Linked DNA regions of Bombyx mori. Each later gene encodes a partner of the first gene's protein in a complex. Links are inferred from orthologs where the notes say so. Each region holds a gene or a part of one and is shown on either strand. Other genes may lie near its edges.

Region 1 (5,847 bases):
GCTAGATTCAATTACACAGAGCTAGCGTCCTATATACAGTAAATTGTGTAATTAATGATAGAGTGGTTAGATGCTTTTAGAAGCGTGAAATATGAAGCGTGGATTTGGAATAGTGGGTCAAACTGATCGATATTCGTCACCCCCACAATAGTGTCTGGTACGTTGCTTTTCGTAGATTCCCCTTTTAATTACGAGTTCTAAGTATTTCAGGATTTCATAACCATAACATTTTTCGTGTGTTTGCGTTTCAGGGTTCGTAACTCAGGCTAAAGATTTTTTTATTGCCCTTGTAGGCAGACGAGCATACCACCTGATGGTGAGTGGTTCCGTTGCACATGGACTTCAGCAATGCCAGGGGCAAAAACAAGACGCTGCCTACCGAGAAAAAAAACTATAAAAAATGTTAAAATATGTACACATATCAAACCCAAAAACTTATTCCTTTATTGCTATTCCCCACATTCTCAGGTTCTCTCGATGCCACAGTCCAACCCGATGGACAGAAGGCAGAGCCCCAATCATCGGGGCCCAACTTTGTGAAATTTGCGACAAAGGTGGCCAACCTTTCCAAGCTTGGCCCACCCAAACCCACACCCACAACGTCAGAGGCGCCGAAAGACAAAATGGACTTTTAGAAAATTTGATTTCTTAGCAATTTAAATAATAAACGCCAGTAGAAAGCGTTTTAAATCTGAAGACGTATATTTTATAACGTTATTATAGCTATATGTGAAATGTAGTAATATTTAGTTTGTTCCGTATTATAATCATTGCATTGTCTTACTTAGTTTCATTTTGGCGCAATAACCTTTTTTTTTAATGCTTAGGTGGGTGGACGGTCTCACAGCCCACCTGGTGTTAAGTGGTTACTGGAGCTCATAGACATCTATAACGTAAATGCGCCACCCACCTTGAGATATAAGTTCTAAGGTCTCAAGTATAGTTACAACGGCTGCCCCACCCTTCAAACCGAAACGCATTACTGCTTCACGGCAGAAATAGGCAGAGCAGTGGTACCTACCCGTGCGGACTCACAAGAGGTCCTACCACCATACCACCAGTACCTCTATCTGTATAGTATTTTAGTTTGAGCGACTTCGTTAAGTGTGTCGTGAATAAAACAAATATCATATTGCAGTAAGTTTTCTTTAATCTAGAAAATAAAAATACAGTATAAACGGATTTTTAAATCACAAGAATAATAATTACATATTCACAAATAACTTCCGTGTTCCGCACAGTCAACATAATCTCGCTTTAAAACTGACAGTAAAACAATAATCAAATGTAAGCAATAACTTTAAAGCAACATTTTAACTTACTTTTATTTTACATAAATAATATTTACTTAGCAAGTTTTCGAAAATAAGAATTACATTAAAATTTCAAGTTAGCTAACGTTTCATTAATTAGTTTACAATTGTGTCTACGTATGCCATTTTTAATTTTCATTCATTCAATTTATATATTTATTATTTCATGTCATGTCATAAACTTGCCACCGCGACCATTGACTTAGCGAATTACTTAATTCATATAAATCCCAACGTGACTATTAAGCGATGAACAAATCACCTTAGTCAACTTTCAGTCCACGACTCGATAATCTCTCATCCTAATATAATTAATTAAAACACTGTTATATTTTTTACTTATATTTTATTTTTAACACATTATTTTACCACGGCGAGTTTGGATTGCGTTATCATATTACAGTTACGAATTATTTGGTGTTTTTTTTTTCTCAATAATCCGAGCAACGTGCTCGCGCTAAGCCTACGACGCTAAACACGTGTCGTAAGAATGTTGCACCAATATGTTTTACTAAGCAAAAAATTGTATTAATAAAATATTGCAATAAAATTCGTCTAGGGTGAATACAAATGCTTTTCGGAATTTGCAGTGAAAACGGACTGTTGTTAATAGTCAAATATACATATTGCGTTTCTAACCTAGCGTCTCTACAGAACAATAATCGCATCGCATCGATCGAACTAAATCAGCATCACCATAAATAAGGCCATTACACATAGTTCTCGTGGTCTATGGAAGAATCTATTGTAAGGTACTATACATTTTCACTTATATATTAATTATAATTGATCGGACCTATCTAAAACGTAAACGGTAAAAAATACATTTAAACATTGTTCGTGTTACACGTAATATTATTATCATTGAATTATACAAAAATGTTAAGAAATAAATACAAGAGCAGTTAAATAATATAAAATGATAAAATAATTCGTACGAGTTTGTGCATGTTACCTGTCTCAACATTCATGTGATATACATTTTTACATCTAAAACGAATAGGTAAGTAAGTAGTGTGTCATAATAATTATTATATTACATTTTATTTCTAGACGAAGACCGGTAATTGTATTAACTTACAACAAAATTACGTTAGCGAGTCTCCTACCTTCGACGGAAACTATACAACATTATCTAGATATATATATATATTTCTGTATACGTAAAGTCGAACGCTAAACTTTAGGAACCCAAGTCTGGATGCGGAGCTTTCGTTACAATAAAGCACAACTTCGTCTTCGTCGACGATTACCACTACTGCAACATTAATTTACGCGCTACGATCACGAGTCGATCGAATAAATATTCATAAAATGTTCAAGTTTCCTCGCGTTAACTACGAAACGCTCTCGGCAGCACGCTAAATCATTGAGCACACGAGCGTATATTTGGCAAAAATGTTTCGTGAAAATGGCATCAAGACAATGTTATAATAAGTACTTTGTGACGTTCCGAAGGACACTCGGGAAGTGTAAAATATGAATAGAAGTAACACTTAAACGATCTTTTAAGTAATAAATTAATAAAAATTAACAATTTCGTTTGAATATTATCGAGCGTCGGACGACACTGCAATGCACACAGCGTCCGCTCGTGTATCTGACGACCGGGGTTAATAATTTAAAATTGTTCAAATTACAAGGTGGATTCAAAGACTATAATGAACGTTCTCGTCGTGACGTGCGAAGGGTGGAGGTCGCGTCACTGATGACGTCACTGATGACGTCACCGGACGACGGAGAACGCGCACACTGTGTTCGGCGTCTACCTTCCGCCGCAACGTAACACTCAATCTCTTCTCACAAAAGTTCTGCCCCTGTGCGAGAAAAATTTATATATATAAAAATGATTGCTGTTCGTTAGTCTCGCTAAAACTCGAGAACGGCTGGACCGATTTGGCTAATTTTGGTCTTGAATTATTTGTGGAAGTCCAGAGAAGGTTTAAAAGGTAGAGAAATATGAAAATGCTCGGAATTAAATAAAATTAACAATGTTGTTTTTCCTTTGATGTCCCCCCCCCCCCCCGTCGAACGGATTCCTTTTGTTTGTTTTAAGTTTATTTTATACAAAAGTTTAGGTCTTTTATTTGTCGATTCATGCACTACGTAGTCTGCCGGGTCAGCCTGATATAATATTAATGAAACGAAAGGTTGAGAGAATGTTTTTTTAAGGGATTTTGTGACCTTTAAGTCATGTCTTATTTTAATTTATATTCATATTTTTATGAAAAATTATATTAAAGTGAAATGAAATGAAGATGATTAAATTGAGAGAAATGAGTTCGTCGTCCTGGTGGTAAGACGTCTTGTGAGTCCGCACGGGTAGATATCATCACCCTGCCTGTTTCTACCGTGAAGCAGTAATGCGTTTCAGTTTGAAGGGTAAGGGAGCCGTTGTAACTATAGTGAGACCTTAGAACTTATATCTCAAAGTGGGTGGCGGATTTACGTTGTAAACGTCTATGGGCTCCAGTTACCACTTAACACCAGGTGGGCTGTGAGCTCGTCCACCCGTCTAAGCAATAAAAAAAATAAAAAAAAATCGTGTTAGGGCCGGCCGGCCGCACTCACGTGATGGTCTTGCGCTCGGAGGGGCGCGCGGCGGCGTGCGGGCGCGCGCGGTTGAGCACCTTGAGCAGGTCGCCGGCCTTGGCGCGCATGCGCGAGTGCACGTACACCTTGGAGCACTTGATGTGGTAGTGCAGGTAGTCGCGGAACATGTGCAGCAGGTCGATGGTGTTGTCGCGCGCCGCCGCGCACGTGTGCCGCGGGAACAGCACTGCCCAACACACACACACTCCGTTAAGCGATTACGTTTTATTCACTATTGTGAGGAGGTAAAGGAATGCGAGGAGCAATTGTCCCCATTAAAATGTGAATAATGTGTGTCTGTGTGTGAATCGCTTGATAGGCAGCAGCTTGGCTCTGCCCCTGGCATTGCTGACGTCCATGAGCGACGGTAATCACTTACAATCAGGAGGCAACTATAAGTCCACATTGTTGCCATTACTAAAAAGCAAGCAAATGCGTTTCAATTCGAACCTTCAACTCGTGTCTCTGCGTGCTCAGGCAGTAAATAAAAAAAACATTCGGTTGTACTCACGATTACAAAATTTTTTTAATTAATAATCAATGGTTTTTCTTTTCTTGGAATACTAAATGATAGGTAAGTAAGCACGCACAGTAGGCGACACGATCAAAAGTAACGCGTCTTGATTTTCAGTGTCGGATATGCGCTATGTAAAGTAACAAGAAATGTAAGAGATTATGTGCAGGAAAATAAAAGTTATTCAAAACAGAGATTTTCCAGTATGGTGGTATCTACAATTCAAATTCACAAAGGACATTTTCTGACAACCAACCAACTAATCAAGCAGATTAATTATGTAGATACGATTTTTGTTAATTGATATTATTCGTCCGTCATGGACATTCATAACATGTACAGTACATATTCAATTCTGACCTGCCTCAGGTTTGAGCCTTGACATAAATAAACACATGTTCACTCAATGTTTCAACCATCAAGCTGAACACTCAACTTAAATAGTTATTAACTCACCAAATGTGACGTAGCTGATGTTGTCACCCACTCTGGCGTCAGTGTCGACCAGTTCTAGCGGCGGCTCCTTGTGTGAAAACAACACCTGGATACACATGAACAAATCGTTAAGCTTTTAAATTCTTGTTACAAGTTTATTTGGGTGCATGACCTTTAAAATAAAAACTACAAAATAAATAGACAGTAGGCAAGAAGACCCTGATTAGCATCAAAAGAAATATTGATAGTACAGGACTTTATTGTAGTGATGATGTGTAGTGTAGACGTGAACGAAGGCTGATGGCCCCCAGTTCCATGTGCCTCAACCGTACTTGAGACATGAGATTGAAGTATTGTAAAATAATCTGTCGTGATGAACCCTGTTACGCCAAGTAACCTATTTTCGTGATTGAGGTAACCAACCCCTTTGGAGATATAGGTTGACAAGTAGATGTGAGATAAAAAGGGGGTCCGGTAATCTCTACTTAAGTCGGATATTTAGGCGTCGGCAGCAGGGCGTACTAACTATTTACACAGCATCACTGCGGTGCAGAAGGCAAGGGGAAACCACTGCACTACCCCTCCCAAGAAATCCTATGAAAGCAAACAATGAAACAAGAGTATTAGCATGAAATGGAAGCTGATGATACAAAGAGCCACGAAGGGCTTTCAGGGATACGACCTTCAGCAATGAAGTATGCGACTAAGAAGAAGAAGAAGAAGAAGAAAATAATATGTGCTGCTTAATATAGCATATATATTAAAATCAATATACTTACTTGAGGTGCGGTGTGCGACGCCCTTCTTCCCTCTTTCAGTTCTTGCATAAACACTTTCCCAATGACCATATCATCTTCGTGTCGAAAGACTGTTGAAAACACAACAGTCACGCGATCTTCCTGCGCTTCAACGTATCTGAAATAACACCATTTGCACATTTATCAATGACACTCCTTATCGGCCCCATACGACACTGCCAGCCAGTGAATTTAT
Region 2 (5,201 bases), on another chromosome or scaffold:
GCTTAGCAACAAGCCCTAAACATCAACATTCGGACTTTTTGCCTACCAAGCAGCAAACCATTTTGATGCAAATCTTCTCGTGGCATCAATTCCCAAAAGTTTATACTCAGGAGTAAACTAGAAAAATGTAATTTGCCAAAGATCTCCTGTTTCTCCTTTTCTATGATTAAAGCAAAAAAACAGTACATAATATCATCATACCTTATAGATTATATGCACTAAAAGTTTCAGTATAACTTTCTGGAGTTTTAATGAGCAATTTATTTTAGCTTAACAAAAAGAAATTATTGGTGCTCAGTATGATAAACCAATAAATAATTATAAAAATAATGTAAGTTTTATAGTCAGGATTAATTCAAATAATGATATAAATAATTCAAACTACATGCTTAAGTAAGTTTCTAGTTTTATTTACAAAAAACTGATACAAATATTAGTGTTTCATAGACATTAAAATATGTCTATTTAGACCACCACCGTAGGTCATAATTGTGTTCCATCGGTAGATTCTACAAAGCACTACACTTGCTAAGGGCTAGTGTTAGCAAGTTCTTTCAGGTTGAACCAGTGAGCTCACCTACCTATCCATGCTGGAATAGCCAAATAGGCTACCAGCAAATAGGTTTACAAAAAAAAGACATATTAGTGTTATAAATACAAAAAATGTTTTATATTTAAATCTGAATTTAATTATACACATTTACTGCATTATAATTAAGAATATTAAAGTTTTCAAATTACACCAGAAATTAATTCAAAACTTACATAATCAACATTAAAACAATTATACCATAAAAATAATAATGTAAAAGAACAGGAAGAAACATTCACGCTATTTTTACTTTTTACAAATATCAAATTACAATAATTGTTTTTACCCATGAAAGCAGACAATCATGCTATCGACAAACAGTCTATGGTGGAATGTGGACATTGACAATTCAAGGAGCAAAATCAACATGCTGTCTTTGTCAAAAGGTATTACACTAAAGAACTTAAAGGGCTCCCAGTAGTATAATAATAGTCATAGATAGGACACTCAGCACATAGCACAATAGAATATGTCAACAAAGCCCCAATAATTATTAACATGTTGACTGCCATGTAAATCACCGGTGCCCTACGCGGCACACTGACGTAATAATGACGATTTTTCTCTTTGATCTACATATTAAAGTGCCGGAATATCTAGTAGAGTCTGGAAATGACTAATTCACAGGTACTAAGAATAAATCTATCTTTTAGAAGACCTAAAAGTCTAAAATATACATTAACAAACAAAAGAAGGCAAAGTTAGGTAATCCAGGCGTGTAGTAACAGAAATCAACGTAATTATTTCAGTGCGCCGCTTAGGGCACCAGTGACCTGCATTAAATTTTATATCTGTATGCAATGTATTTTCCCTGACCTCTATCTAAATAACGTAATATTTTTAATAGTTCAATTGTAGCCTGTAAGCACCTACCCATCTGTGCTTACCTGGAATAGGCCTTTAGGCTATCAAAGAATAAGTTCAGAAAAAATCTAGTTTCTTCTACAATTACATATTTAAATGTCATTTTTGTAATGATACAATTTATTTGTCTATGAAGGTTATATGAATTCCATCACTAATTAAAATTACATAGCCATCAAAGCAACAAATTTTTCACATGAATTCATACTCTATGTACAATAAAGATGTTTCATTCTATCACTGAAAGAAGTAGTTAAAATCTCTTCAAGAATTCTTCCGAACAAATTCTGGCTCTTGCATTGACAGCCAATTTCATTTCACTGATTTCTTTATCAATTTCTTCCATAAAGTATATTACAAAATCGACCAATTTATGCTTATACATCTGTTCGGTATGGAAGTTAGTAATCAAAAAGCTGATATGGTACCCATCAACTGGTTTCCTCCTTAATACAATGAAGTTTTCAGCTCTCATCATCATGAACCGCATAAATTTTTTACAAAGAATTTTCTCTATCTCATCCGCCTGCTTGATCATAATACTCACCCTAATTGAATTTATTGAAGACTCTATTAATACTTTTTCATTAGAATTTCTTGAAATAACAACAGGATTGAGTAAAAGTTCTTTGCTTGTTCTAACTTCGACCTCCGGCTTGGTGTATTTCTCGACAACTTGCGATGAAAAGTGTTCTAAGCACATAGCGGCAGTGAGCGTGTGACGCACCGCTGTTAGATACGGTTTTAAAGTTGCAGCCATTGTAGAAAATTAAACTTTCGCAAAGATCACGCCACACCTTAAGTTCCTTTCAATTTTTTAGTCATGAATTATCACCATTGATGACAGATTTGACATAAGCATCATTGTTTGATTCGTTCATTACATAGCCAAAGGTAAGGTAGGCCATACAGTCAAATCCAAGTGTGTTGTTGTGTGAAAATGTACTAAATAAAATTAAATGATTATTAAGGAATTGAATCTGAGGTAAGATAAGGTAAAATTGTAGGTATTGGATGAGAAATAATGAAATAACATCTCAGTAAAGTGGAGAGAATTTACTAAAATCTCTTAAATGCAGGGGGGTGCAACTCCCATACAAAGGAAAATAACATACAACTAGCGTCATCTTACTCCTGTGGCGACGTCATTTTTGTAACTTTTAGGCATTAATGATCTAATAAACTCACTAGATGGCATATATGAGTTCTGACTCAATAAAAAATGTAGCGTACTTTGAAGCAGTGCTTCCACTTTTAGGGAATTCTCCCTTTTTTAGGGAAAAATAGCTGATATTTTGGATGATAAAGACAATTTAAAAAATACCAGGATTTAGGATATTTCGGGGTAAAAAGCAAAGCCTATACTAGTAACTGTTGTGAATTTTAAAATAAACGATAATTAAAGTAAAACAATGAACATTTTATTTTATGGAGAGAGAATGACATTAAGTCGAGTTGACAAGTAAAAGAATAAAACAGAGTTGTGTATAAAAACTATAAAGGTTTGATTCAACAGTAACCTTCTAGTAAAGTAAATCATAGATTAAGCCACTGCTTTTTCTTAGGGATTCCCCAGAATCCCAATAAGTATAATCCGCCAAATTTTTATTTACCTATTTTCGTTGATGTCACCAGAACTTACTTGTATTGTAATATACAGGTACTTCATGTACCATGAAAGATTATCATGGTAATTTCATTTACGAAACCTTGTAATTGTCATTTCACTTTTGCTAGCAGTTCCTTCTTCAAAGACTGAGGTGGAAAGATTATTCAGTGTTCTCAAATTTAAAAACTGACAAAAGAAACAGGCTTTCTAATGAAACCCTGAACGGCTTGCTTCATAGAAAGTTCCCAACTTTGCCAGCAAACAATTGCTCAATTTTAGAACCGAACAGTGTTAGGTTGTGCAGCAAAAGAATATAAAAGCAATGCGTCGACTTCCTTGAAAATTCTAATCCTATAGATCTATGATCTTCTGGGGGCGTTTATATTATATATACCTACATTAAATAATATGCTGTGGTTTATTTTCTGTATTTTATTTACGCTTTCTATATAAAGGATTTATGAAAGTTGTCTAGGAAATTTTAGGGTAAATTCAAAAGAAACTAGGGTAAAATGTGTTAAAAAAAACGTAAGTGGAAACACTGCTTTGAAGTTTTCAAAATTCCAGGGCCGTAAAACAATCTCAAAAAAAAAAAAAGTTTTCAAAATGTCGTAACGATTTAATTTTTTAAATCGTTTTTTTTTGGTCTTGGTGTGAGTTATTTTACGTTGTAGTATTAATTTAGAGCAACTTTTAGCTTTATGAGAATATTAGACGATTAGACATTGAGAAACTCTGTTTTGAATTCTCTTTAGACATAACTTGGCTCCAATACTTTTTTCTTCGTTAGCGTTTCGTAAGCCTGTGTAACTATTTTCATTTCTTACAGAATGTTTATTATTAAAAATCAGCATGCCTCGAAGATCGAAAATGAAATGCTATTTCGGATGCCTTGATAACGGTGAGTTTACACTATTTTCCCGGTATATTATTTGCTAACAGAATTATTATTCATAATATAATTAAATGAATTAGCACCAACTAATGGTCCTTCCTATTTCTGCTGCCTAGCTATCATATATGTTAAGTTTTGATCAAAACAGTCGGTATTAAGTCTCGTACTATCACACACACACCTCAGATAATAAAATTGTCTCGAGTGGGTGGAAGTATTTATGTTTTGCAACTCAGCGTATTATATGCTTATTGTCAAGTGGGCCCGAACTAGTTTTTTGGAATGATCAATCAGTCATGCTTTCCTGTTTAAATAAAATACAGCACAATTGATCTCACATCCAAAGTTAGATGATGGCATTCACGTTTTGTTTCCTGGTGTTTGATAACTAAGTTACACCAAGTGGCCTGTGACCACGTTCATCCTTCTACCCAATATAAAATAATGTTTTTATTTTTGTAGACAAAGGTTTGATAATGACAAAATTTTATGGAAAAATTATAAGGAGCACTAAAATGTCTGAAACATGAAAAGATTGATGCACTATATTTGAACCAGAACGTGTTATGTAATATATTAATTTGTAAGTAAGATTACATTAACACTAAATTTTTCATGGTCGTATTTTTTCAATATTTGTTACATACTTAAGATACTTTGTTTCTCCGTTTCAGAAGAGAAACTGATTCAGCAAGGAACGTGAACTCTCAAGGGATCTTAATTTTTTTTAAATATGTTTATAATTGATAAATTAATAATTGAAATAGTTCATAAGAACTAAATTGATGCCAATTTTGTTTTAAAATAGGTTGTTTAGTTCTTATAGTTATAGTATTACGTTTGAATAGTTGTAATTAGTAAGTTAGTAATATATGAAAATACTGATATAAATTTTTGTAAATAACCTTTTGTAAATTCTACGAGAAGATGATTTTAATTAATGATCAAAAGTCAACGGTCTTTAAAAGCATTATTTGCAATTATTTAGATTAACTGTGGAATATATTTGCTAAGTTGTGTTTTCTGTATGAGCAGATATAAATGAAAATGCCCAAACATGATTATGTTTCTTACATTTTCATTATGTGAAATCAATATGCTTGTGACTGAGTATATTAATAATTTATTAAAACTTAAGTGATAGACAGCAACCCCTATGGCACTGCTGAAGTTTATAAGCACTGGTGACCACTTATCATGGGCCGGGTTGCGTGCTCGTCTGCTGTTGAGTGCAATAAAAA

The links. The genes of interacting proteins can lie anywhere in the genome.
Region 2: actin-related protein 2/3 complex subunit 2 (region 1) and actin related protein 2/3 complex subunit 4 share a complex: the UniProt entries of both Caenorhabditis elegans proteins name them as parts of the arp2/3 complex. The link is inferred for Bombyx mori from reciprocal best matches to the Caenorhabditis elegans genes arx-4 and arx-6.

What each region holds. Positions count from the first base shown.
Region 1 is NC_085109.1:10,846,494-10,852,340, reverse strand, and holds the end of actin-related protein 2/3 complex subunit 2, read right to left. Parts: intron 5,770-5,847; coding exon 5,634-5,769; intron 4,961-5,633; coding exon 4,876-4,960; intron 4,093-4,875; coding exon 3,885-4,092; intron 3,131-3,884; coding exon 3,103-3,130; 3' UTR 1,131-3,102; downstream 1-1,130. UniProt on the Caenorhabditis elegans protein: Functions as actin-binding component of the Arp2/3 complex which is involved in regulation of actin polymerization and together with an activating nucleation-promoting factor (NPF) mediates the formation of branched actin networks.
Region 2 is NC_085122.1:8,791,939-8,797,139, forward strand, and holds actin related protein 2/3 complex subunit 4, read right to left. Parts: upstream 2,285-5,201; 5' UTR 2,217-2,284; coding exon 1,710-2,216; 3' UTR 1,431-1,709; downstream 1-1,430. UniProt on the Caenorhabditis elegans protein: Functions as actin-binding component of the Arp2/3 complex which is involved in regulation of actin polymerization and together with an activating nucleation-promoting factor (NPF) mediates the formation of branched actin networks.